Linked DNA regions of Saccharomyces cerevisiae S288C. The gene in region 1 interacts genetically with each later gene. Each region holds a gene or a part of one and is shown in the gene's direction. Other genes may lie near its edges.

Evidence for each region. A genetic interaction does not mean that the proteins touch.
Region 2: mutations in RTG1 (region 1) and RTG3 together harm fitness less than expected from each alone (positive genetic interaction), as found in Saccharomyces cerevisiae (6 studies listed by BioGRID).
Region 3: mutations in RTG1 (region 1) and SWI6 together harm fitness less than expected from each alone (positive genetic interaction), as found in Saccharomyces cerevisiae (3 studies listed by BioGRID, with this or other methods).

The regions. Positions count from the first base shown.
Region 1 is NC_001147.6:201,485-204,384, reverse strand, and holds RTG1 (Rtg1p), read left to right. Parts: upstream 1-1,866; coding exon 1,867-2,400; downstream 2,401-2,900. Other genes in the region: bifunctional DRAP deaminase/tRNA pseudouridine synthase RIB2, read left to right, coding at 1-1,689; histone deacetylase HST1, read left to right, coding at 2,506-2,900. UniProt on the Saccharomyces cerevisiae protein: Required for a novel path of interorganelle communication between mitochondria, peroxisomes and the nucleus, thereby maintaining a functional metabolic interaction between the tricarboxylic acid and glyoxylate cycles.
Region 2 is NC_001134.8:21,511-25,199, reverse strand, and holds RTG3 (Rtg3p), read left to right. Parts: upstream 1-1,663; coding exon 1,664-3,124; downstream 3,125-3,689. Other genes in the region: ECM21 (Ecm21p), read left to right, coding at 1-254; SFT2 (Sft2p), read right to left, coding at 455-1,102. UniProt on the Saccharomyces cerevisiae protein: Transcription factor that regulates CIT2 gene expression. Binds to two identical sites oriented as inverted repeats 28 bp apart in a regulatory upstream activation sequence element (UASR) in the CIT2 promoter. The core binding site is 5'-GGTCAC-3'.
Region 3 is NC_001144.5:516,026-520,916, forward strand, and holds SWI6 (transcriptional regulator SWI6), read left to right. Parts: upstream 1-1,914; coding exon 1,915-4,326; downstream 4,327-4,891. Other genes in the region: methionine adenosyltransferase SAM1, read left to right, coding at 1-385; VTA1 (Vta1p), read right to left, coding at 653-1,645; TOS4 (Tos4p), read right to left, coding at 4,518-4,891. UniProt on the Saccharomyces cerevisiae protein: Part of a complex involved in cell-cycle-dependent transcription. SWI4 and SWI6 are required for formation of the cell-cycle box factor-DNA complex. The repeated element in the upstream region of HO (5'-CACGAAAA-3') is called the cell cycle box (CCB).

The DNA.
Region 1 (2,900 bases):
AAATTCGCGAACAGGAATAATAATAGGAACGAAAACAGTTCCAAAGTCAAAGATGCGAGTGGATTCAGACTGAGAGTTATTCAAACCGATGGGCACAAAACTAAAAAGACAGACCCTGATTATGAAGTGACAATTGATGGACCCTTAAGGAAGATTGAGCCTTATTTTTTCACTTATAAAACTTTCTGTAAGGAGAGGTGGAGAGATCGTAAGTTGGTGGATGTATTCGTGAGCGAATTCAGGGATCGAGAGCCCAGCTATTATTCCAAAACCATTGCAGAGGGAAAAGTATACTTAAACGATGAACCTGCAAACCTTGATACCATCATTCGTGACGGTGATCTGATCACACATAAAGTACATCGACATGAACCGCCAGTCACATCTAAACCAATAGATATTGTGTTTGAAGACGAAGATATCCTTGTCATTGATAAACCCAGCAGTATTCCAGTGCACCCAACGGGCAGATACAGATTCAATACCATTACAAAAATGCTAGAAAGACAGCTAGGTTATTCAGTACATCCATGTAATAGACTAGACAAGCCAACTAGTGGACTAATGTTTTTAGCCAAGACTCCATTAGGTGCAGATAGAATGGGAGACCAAATGAAAGCGAGGGAAGTCACCAAAGAATACGTAGCCCGCGTGAAGGGCGAGTTCCCTATAGGTATAGTAGAGGTAGATAAGCCTGTCAGATCTGTTAACCCTAAAGTTGCACTAAACGCTGTTTGCGAGATGAGCGATGAAAACGCTAAACATGCCAAGACCGTTTTCCAAAGGGTTAGCTATGATGGACAGACGAGTATTGTAAAGTGTAAACCATTGACAGGTAGAACTCACCAAATAAGAGTCCATTTGCAGTACTTGGGATTTCCCATAGCAAATGACCCTATATACTCGAACCCAGATATCTGGGGTCCAGATTTGGGCCGCGGTGGACTTCAAAACTATGATGACATCGTTCTGAAACTAGACGCTATTGGCAAGACTAATCCTGCAGAGAGCTGGATTCATCCTCATAGCGAGGGTGAATACTTGCTTGGCCGTCAGTGCGAAGAATGCGAGGCTGAAATGTACACAGATCCCGGTACTAATGATCTCGACCTCTGGCTGCATGCCTTCCGGTACGAGTCATTGGAAAGAAATTCGGATACGCAAAAACCTCTCTGGAGTTATAGAACAAAATACCCTGAATGGGCCTTAGAGCCACATCGCCGATATATGGAAATGGCCGTTAAGGAAGCTGGTAAGTGTGGCCCGACAAAGACTGCTTTTAGTGTTGGTGCCGTTCTTGTTCATGGAACTCAAGTACTTGCCACAGGATATTCAAGAGAGCTACCAGGAAACACTCATGCAGAACAGTGTGCTTTGATAAAGTACTCGCAGTTACACCCGAACTGTCCCACTATAGTCCCTATGGGAACAGTGCTCTATACAACCATGGAACCCTGTTCCTTCAGGCTAAGTGGCAATGAGCCTTGCTGCGATAGAATCCTGGCCACCCAAGGTGCCATTGGTACTGTCTTCGTGGGGGTTATGGAGCCCGATACATTTGTTAAAAACAATACAAGTTTGAACAAGCTGGAATCGCACGGTGTGAACTACATACAAATACCAGGCTACGAGGAGGAGTGCACCATCATTGCCTTCAAAGGCCACGATAATAGTGACGACAAAGCTTAGACTATTTAGCATATATATTATCATGTAATCTTACATCATATCTACAATAACCACTCATTACTGGAAACGGAAAAAGGCGCCACCGAAAATTTTGAGTAAAAAGAATGGAATTAACTTCAACCACAACACAGACAAAAAACACTAGATAGTGAACCAAAAGAAAGCACAACACCAAACATGAGCAGCATTCCAGCTGGCACTGATCCTGGGTCCTGCGGTGCTAATTTCAAGAATGACCGCAAGCGCAGAGATAAGATCAACGACCGTATTCAAGAACTATTGAGTATCATTCCCAAAGACTTCTTTAGAGATTATTACGGCAATTCTGGTAGCAATGACACGTTAAGTGAATCCACTCCCGGTGCGCTTGGGTTGTCCAGCAAGGCCAAAGGTACAGGGACCAAGGACGGAAAGCCCAACAAGGGCCAAATTCTCACACAGGCGGTAGAGTACATATCACATCTACAAAATCAAGTGGACACACAGAACAGAGAGGAGGTGGAACTGATGGTGAAGGCCACTCAGTTGGCCAAGCAGACAGGCACCATTGTCAACGATATAAACTTAGAGAACACCAGCGCTGAAGTCGCCCTGTCCAGGATTGGCGTGGGACCGCTGGCCGCAACAAATGATGACTCAGTAAGACCGCCAGCAAAGAGGTTGAGCTCCTTCGAGTACGGAGGGTATGGTGAGTACGGTAATGGTAGCTAAAAGTACTTCTGACTCTCACTATTGCTATGTTGTGATAACCCTCGTTGGTAGTGATACGAACACTTCTCTTCTTTTTTGTTGTTTTTGTGAGAAAAAAAAATCTAAATGAACATATTGCTAATGCAACGGATAGTTAGTTTTATTTTGGTGGTTAGTCAAGGGCGATACTTTCATGTTGGAGAGCTGACCATGACAATGTTGAAAAGACCTCAAGAAGAAGAGTCAGATAATAATGCTACGAAGAAGCTGAAAACGAGATTAACGTACCCTTGTATCCTCGGGAAGGATAAGGTGACGGGCAAATTCATCTTTCCTGCAATCACTAAAGATGATGTTATGAATGCAAGACTGTTTTTGAAGGACAACGATTTGAAAACTTTTTTAGAATATTTTTTGCCAGTGGAAGTCAACTCGATCTACATTTATTTCATGATAAAATTGCTGGGATTCGACGTCAAAGATAAAGAACTATTTATGGCGTTAAACTCTAATATCACTTC
Region 2 (3,689 bases), on another chromosome or scaffold:
GATCTCACAATTCATCACCAACAAATGGCTTATCACAAGCAAATGGTACTGTGAGGATTCCAAACGCTACCACTGAAAACTCTAAGGACAAACAGAACGAATTTTTCAAAAAGGGTTACACTTTAGCGAATGTAAAAGATGATGAAGAACAAGAAGGAATAGTAAGTTCGAGCTCCGCAGATTCGCTACTCTCTCATGGTAACGAGCCTCCGCGTTATGACGAAATAGTGCCTTTGATGAGTGATGAAGAATGAATTTTTTCGTTTTTTATTTTTTTTTGAATTATTCTACGATAATTATATATATAGAGCCACTGCATGTTTTACTCCCTTTTTGTTGACTACATGCTATTTAATTAGGTTAGGTTATAAATCTCTTTATTATTGTTTCTTATAACATAAACATTATTTTTCTTCTTCAACTAATCAATTCAATATGCACTATGAATGATAATTCAGATGCGCAGAACACCTCTTGCCGAATTGACACCAGCAGAGCTTAACATCCTCAAACCTGTTGCACCGAATGGGAAATATGAAATAGCATAATAAATGACGGCAACTAATTCAAGAAGAGCACATGTAATAGTCAGCACCGTGTTCTTGGAAAAGGCTGCGAAATAAATCGTCATGAAGCATGTGGCGAAAAAGAACATCGAAAAAGGCAGCCTTTCCCTTGCAGTCAAATGTTTTAAGTACGCGAGTGGTCCCATAAGTACCCCAAACGCAAGAACAAATAGTAGGGACCCCATTGTCCATAGTAAACCAAACTTTCTTGGTTTAGCGGCTAGAACGGGGAAAAGGAAAGTACAAAGAGTGAAACAGGCTGTTGCACCCAAAAGAAAACAGACAAAAAGTACCATTCTTTCCGTTCTTGACAATTGGAACCACGACGGCTCCTGGTCTTGCACCAAGTCCTGTCTAGATACAGGCAACGTCTGATATATATCCTGGGCCCTGGTATTGAGAGAATCCGCCCAGCTTGAGAACAATGTCTTCGCAGATTCATTAAAACCCTGCGAGTTCTGCTGTCTTGTTTGATTCCATCGATTCAATGAGTCACGGAGACTATTGACCTGGTCAGAAGGTGGTTCCTCGCTCATATTCTCCACACTTGTTCTTTTTTTTTACCAGCAAAAAAAAAAAACGCAACTGCAGACAATACAGGTAATCTAAGTCCTACTCTAAACTACCGAACGCAATTAGAATGCAAATTTATTCAATCTTCTTCCTATTTCAGTATAGTACAAGTCTTGACCAATACTCCCTCTTCATTACAATCGCCTTTTGCCGGGTCACGATTGCGGGCCGTTCCGCGGGATGTGACTCTTCGCAAGTTACTTTTGAAATAATAAAGCCATGGTGATTAGAAAAGCCTTCTTATGAGCAACAGAAACTAACAATTGTACTACTCGGTCCGGACAGTAGGATCTCCAATATTACTGCAGGTTAGTACATTATTTTTTACTCGCAGTTGCTATTTTGGCTAGAGGCTGCACGGAATCATCAAGGAATTTTTCACAATCCGAATTTCTGTCTTACGTGAGCATATATAAGATAACAAAAACGACATTACTGCATTCACATTACTTAGTTGACAAGTATCCTTTAATAGAATACTCTTATTTTTTGTCAGGCGAACCTACTTCTTAAATAAGTGAAGAATGATGAACAATAACGAAAGTGAGGCTGAGAACCAACGTCTACTGGACGAATTAATGAACCAGACAAAAGTCCTCCAGGAAACTTTAGATTTTTCGTTAGTGACACCCACTCCACACCACAATGATGATTACAAGATACACGGAAGTGCCTACCCAGGTGGTGAGACTCCTGCCCAACAGCATGAAAAACTCTCATACATCAATACGCACAACTCTAACGATAATAATAACTTAATGGGCAGTCAAGCGAGGTCCAATTCACAAACTCCTACAGCTTCGACCATATATGAGGAAGCAGAATCGCAATCGTCTTACCTGGATGATATGTTTAGAACAAGCCAAGGCGGTAGACCTGTCACTCAAAATTCCATATCTTCCATAGGGCAGGGTCCCTTGAGATCATCTTATTCTATGGCTTACGACTCACCTGTGGATAGAGCAATGAATACTCCATTACAGCAACAAGAAGGCTTAAAAGCTGAGTTACCACATGACTTTTTATTTCAGCATGGCACCGATGACACAATGTATAACTTAACTGATGATTTGAGCTCCTCTTTATCTTCTAGCATCAATTCTGATATGATGACACCAAACACATATTCATCATCATTTTCTTATAATCCACAAAGCTTGGGCCCAGCATCCGTATCTTCCACATATTCCCCAAAGGTAAGATCACCATCATCGTCATTTCGTGCAGGAAGTTTCCTTTCATCTTCTTTTAGGCATGGTAGCATAAACACACCCAGAACAAGACACACTTCAATAAGTAGCAATATGACTGAAAATATAGGACCTGGAAGTGTTCCAAAGATTTTAGGCGGGTTAACTTCTGATGAGAAACTGAGGCGCAAAAGAGAGTTTCATAATGCCGTCGAAAGGAGAAGAAGAGAATTAATAAAGCAAAAGATAAAAGAACTCGGCCAGTTGGTTCCACCATCTTTATTGAATTACGATGACCTAGGTAAACAAATCAAACCAAATAAGGGTATCATTTTGGATAGAACGGTCGAATATTTACAATACCTGGCCGAAATTTTAGAAATACAAGCACGAAAAAAGAAGGCGTTATTGGCGAAGATAAAAGAATTGGAAGAGAAGAAAAGTTCTGTCGCAGCATTATCTCCTTTTACCAATAACCACCATGCCAGTTCGGGGCAAAATAATAGCGAGAATAGTGAGGAAAGAATTATAGATATTAGATCTGTCCCAAATGCTTTGATGAATGAACAAAATAGTAAGGCTGAATTGCACAATTGGGAGCCACCGTTATATGATTCGGTCGGTAACCACAATCATGCTGGCACTATGGAGAGTCATCCACATACAAACATTCATGAAGAATTAAAGGAGTTCTTATCAGGCGATTTGATTGAAGCCGAAGATAATGCAAAATTAATGTTTGGAGATGACAACTCTAATCCAGCTGACTATCTTTTAGAATTTGGTTCGGGGTAGTTTATGGTCTTATTAGCGGGAAAAAATTAAATTTGAAAAAGGTCAGGTAAGCAAAAGCAGTAAAACTTCAATATCTATGTTTGTTCCTTCTATTGGGAGAACGTTAATCGCTTCCGTACTCGCAAGATAATGTAATGAAAAAATTAGGAATTGCAACAAAATAAAGCGGAATATTAGTAACGCTTACATGCAACGTTTTGAAAAGAGTGGAAGAGATAGGCAAGCAGAATTATATGTAACAAAATCTAAAATTATTCACTATTATTCTTGGTTATGTCTAATACTTTGGATATATTAATTCTTTAGAATTTTATGTATTCTAAATGCAATTATGTCAATAAAACCCATGTAATTTTCTTTCATGATATGATTTAAATGCATTAGTATTATCAGGCATATTGTTATATATGAAGAAGGTTAGTTATAAGTAGTGTATAATATATACATGTGCTGCCCGCAATTGGGTATGATATGATTTTTAGTGCTTTATAATTTGGCGTCGCAAGAATGTAGATCACTTGTATCAATGGAAAGCTTACTTGGGTAACTCATTTATTGAGAAAAT
Region 3 (4,891 bases), on another chromosome or scaffold:
CGACGCTTACGGTGGTGCCTCATCCGTCGGTGGTGGTGCCTTCTCCGGTAAGGACTACTCTAAGGTTGATCGTTCTGCCGCTTATGCCGCTAGATGGGTTGCCAAGTCCCTAGTTGCCGCTGGTTTATGTAAGAGAGTTCAAGTTCAATTTTCTTATGCCATCGGTATTGCGGAACCATTGTCCTTGCACGTTGACACCTATGGTACTGCGACCAAGTCTGACGAAGAAATTATCGACATTATCAGCAAGAACTTTGACTTGAGACCTGGTGTATTGGTCAAGGAGTTGGACTTAGCTAGACCAATCTACTTGCCAACCGCTTCTTATGGCCATTTCACAAACCAAGAATACCCATGGGAAAAGCCTAAGACTTTGAAGTTCTAAGCTTTTTTCCTTTTGGACTTTTTTCTGCCTTCAACCTCCCATGTTTTCATTTGCTCAACACAAGTCAACATGTACATTATACCGTATTTGATGCAGGGACGCAATACCATCATATTCTTGATATAGACTCATTTTTCTCAAATCAAATTTGTATCGATTTCATTTTGCATTATACAGGATTCCTTTTCCTTTCTAACATTTAATACGTAACTACTAATATTAATATATACCTCCTTCAACGGATCAACAAACCAAACTTTATCTTATTCAAATAGAATTTAACAGATCCAACGCCTTAGTTAACTCATCTTTGGCGGTGGGCAGGTCTTCATAATTCAATGCGCTTATGGCGTATTTGGCAAGTTTTTGAATTTGCTCTATTTTACTGGCCCTGTCCATAATTTTTGTCAACTCATCCTTTGTATACGATTTATGCTCTGCTGCAGCAGGTTCTGATGGTGCAGAAGGGCGCGTAAGATCCACTTCTTTCTTCACAACTTGTTGTTCGTCTTTTGTTATTGCATCTTCGTTCTTGTCGACGGTCTGTTCTTCTTCGTTTACGCTATCGGCATCATCAATAAATTCAGGTACCTCATCCACAGGCTCGTATGATGTTGTTTGGTCTTTTGGGGCTAGGCCTTCGACTTTATCATTATTATTGTTTTCCAAATCGCTTGTCTGGTGATCAACATCTTCATCCTTAATCTCCTCGCTATCATCCGCAAAATCTGCATAATCTAACGTTTTCTCGTCGCTGGAACCAATTTCACCCTTTGCCAATTTACTCAAATAAATTTTGCAATACTTAATTCGTTTTTGTAATGAATTTGTACTCGTTTCACTTATATTTTCCTTCCACAGGTGTAAAATGCATGAAAATAAATCAATACAACACCAAAGTGATCTTTTTAACATAACATCCCAGGGACCATCTTTTAGCTGTTTCAGTTTCTCGTTATACAACGACATTGTAAAATTTAGCATATAAATTTTGGCTTTTTCTTGATCATGTATTAGCGTGTTCATAACGTGTAAGCTTTTGTCACTGTCTTCTGCTTCACTCTCGCCGCCAATCTCCTTCTTAAACGCTTCAATAGTATCAAGAAGTTCTGTCGCTAGTGCGGTCATCTCTTGCGACCGATCTTCTTCACTCAGTATCAATTCCACCGCATATAACTGAAGATAGTATCCGATGATCCCTAACCCAACTTTGTCAAAATCCTTCGCTGTAGCGACAACCCTTGCAGCGTTACTAGCCATAGAATTTATTTAAAATGTGGACAATTAGTTTCTAAAAATTGAATCAAATAAAATAAGAAAGCTTATTGTTCCTTTTTTTGTCTTCATCTGGACCGTTTGGATAAGATCATTCACCAAATCTTAGTTTTTTTTTTTAGTTTCCTTCTCCAACGATTTCATAATAATAAAAAAAAACAACAAAAAACACGATTGAGAAACATCAATATGAACTAAGCAATAGCTAAAAAAAAAAGAATAATAAAGGGGAACACAGTATAATTCTCGAGAGGATGGCGTTGGAAGAAGTGGTACGATACTTAGGACCTCACAATGAGATCCCTTTGACACTCACTAGAGACTCGGAGACTGGCCATTTCCTCCTGAAACATTTTCTGCCCATTTTGCAGCAATATCATGACACGGGGAATATTAACGAGACCAACCCCGATAGTTTCCCCACTGATGAGGAAAGAAATAAATTACTGGCACATTATGGAATTGCTGTAAATACAGACGACCGAGGTGAGTTATGGATAGAGCTGGAAAAATGTTTACAATTATTAAACATGCTAAATTTATTCGGTTTGTTCCAGGATGCATTCGAATTTGAGGAGCCTGAAACAGATCAGGATGAAGAAGATCCCAGCCATTCGAAACTACCAGAAAACAAGACCAAAAGTGAAAATTCTAAGGATAATATCAGCTCAAAGAGGATTAATAATTTACAAGATATGAGCCTGGATTCTGATGCACACAGAGAATTAGGCTCTCCTTTAAAAAAACTAAAAATAGATACCTCTGTAATAGATGCTGAGAGTGACTCCACTCCGAATACTGCCAGAGGCAAGCCTAACGATGATATTAATAAGGGCCCTAGCGGCGACAATGAAAATAATGGCACTGATGACAATGACAGAACCGCTGGACCTATCATAACATTCACTCATGACCTAACTTCTGACTTTTTAAGCAGTCCACTGAAAATCATGAAAGCACTACCTTCTCCAGTTGTAAATGATAATGAACAGAAGATGAAACTAGAGGCATTCTTACAACGGTTGTTATTTCCAGAAATTCAAGAAATGCCTACATCCCTTAATAATGACAGCAGTAATAGAAATTCAGAAGGGGGGAGCTCAAACCAACAACAACAGCACGTATCATTTGATAGCCTTTTGCAAGAGGTAAACGACGCTTTTCCTAATACTCAATTAAATCTTAATATTCCTGTAGATGAGCATGGAAACACACCATTACATTGGCTGACTTCAATAGCAAACCTGGAATTAGTGAAACACCTGGTTAAGCATGGTTCAAACAGATTATATGGTGATAATATGGGGGAGTCATGCCTAGTGAAAGCTGTCAAATCAGTAAATAATTACGACTCTGGTACTTTTGAGGCACTTCTAGATTATTTATATCCATGTTTAATTTTGGAAGACTCAATGAATAGAACAATTTTGCACCATATCATTATTACGTCTGGTATGACTGGCTGTTCAGCAGCTGCGAAATATTATTTAGATATTTTAATGGGATGGATTGTCAAGAAACAAAATAGACCCATTCAAAGTGGTACTAACGAAAAAGAAAGCAAACCGAATGACAAAAATGGGGAAAGAAAGGACTCTATACTAGAAAATTTGGACCTGAAATGGATAATAGCAAACATGCTCAATGCGCAGGACTCTAATGGCGATACTTGCTTGAACATTGCAGCAAGATTGGGAAACATTTCAATAGTAGACGCTTTATTAGATTACGGTGCTGACCCATTTATTGCAAACAAATCAGGGTTGAGACCCGTGGATTTTGGGGCAGGTACTTCAAAATTACAAAATACGAACGGCGGTGACGAAAACTCGAAGATGGTCTCTAAGGGTGATTACGACGGTCAAAAAAATGGAAAGGCCAAAAAAATAAGGTCTCAACTGTTGAAAAACCCACCTGAAACAACTTCGTTAATTAATGATGTCCAAAATTTACTGAATTCAATCTCGAAAGATTATGAGAATGAAACAGTGCAATATAATGAGAAATTAGAAAAACTACACAAGGAATTGAACGAACAGCGAGAAGAATTAGCTAATTCTAGAGAACAACTAGCAAATGTGAAGCAATTGAAAGATGAATACTCACTAATGCAAGAGCAATTGACCAATTTAAAAGCAGGAATTGAAGAAGAAGAGGAAAGTTTTAGGGAAGAGAGCAAAAAGCTAGGAATAATTGCAGATGAAAGTTCAGGTATTGATTGGGACTCTAGCGAATATGATGCAGATGAACCCTTCAAAGTAGAGTTCCTTTCAGATTTCTTGGAGGATAAATTACAAAAGAATTATGAAGGCGATATTTCCAAACTATTAGAAGCGGAGTCGAAAGAGCAGATAATGGAACAGATACGAAATCAACTTCCCGCAGAAAAAATCCAATCGATGCTTCCACCAACGGTCTTATTGAAGGCAAGAATAAATGCATACAAGCGGAATGATAAACACCTAACCAATGTATTGGATACAATCAGCACCAAACAATCAGAATTAGAGAATAAATTTAGAAGAGTGTTATCTTTATGTTTGAAAATCGACGAAAATAAAGTTGACAATATGCTTGATGGTTTGTTACAGGCCATATCTTCTGAAGACCCACAAGACATTGACACTGACGAAATGCAAGATTTTTTAAAAAAGCATGCTTCATGAGGGCATGTGATTTCATTGCATTAACTTTTATGACTTTATTTGAAGTTATTTTTTTGTTTTAGCGCTTTATTTACTTTTATTTTACTACATAACTGTATTCTTACAAAATTTTTACGTACTCAGATGGGATATATAGGCACTTGATGTTTTATTTTCTTGTTCTTATCATATATCCGATGGAATAAAATGTTCTATTTTGCTGGCTTTTTCCAAAAATATTGTTTATGTGTCCTTCTACAAGATCTTAAGCCTGTCCTTCCACCTTTTAATGAACTCACCAAGTTTCTTCTCTCGTAATCATCATCGTTTTCTAAATCGTAGAAATACTCTTCGTCCAATGGTTTGCCGGCGGCGTCCTTACCATGACGGTAAATGACACCGACACATTTCGCGTCGCTCAAAATCGAACGTAATTCATCTCTTGAAAGCTCAGAAATTTGTGAGTTCACCTGCTGTAATTGGAATAATGGCGTCTGCTGGACGTTTGCAAAAGCTAGGTGATTGGTTAAAATATGCTGTAGATGCATAACATCAATATTTCTTCTAGATAGCTCATCCAAATTCT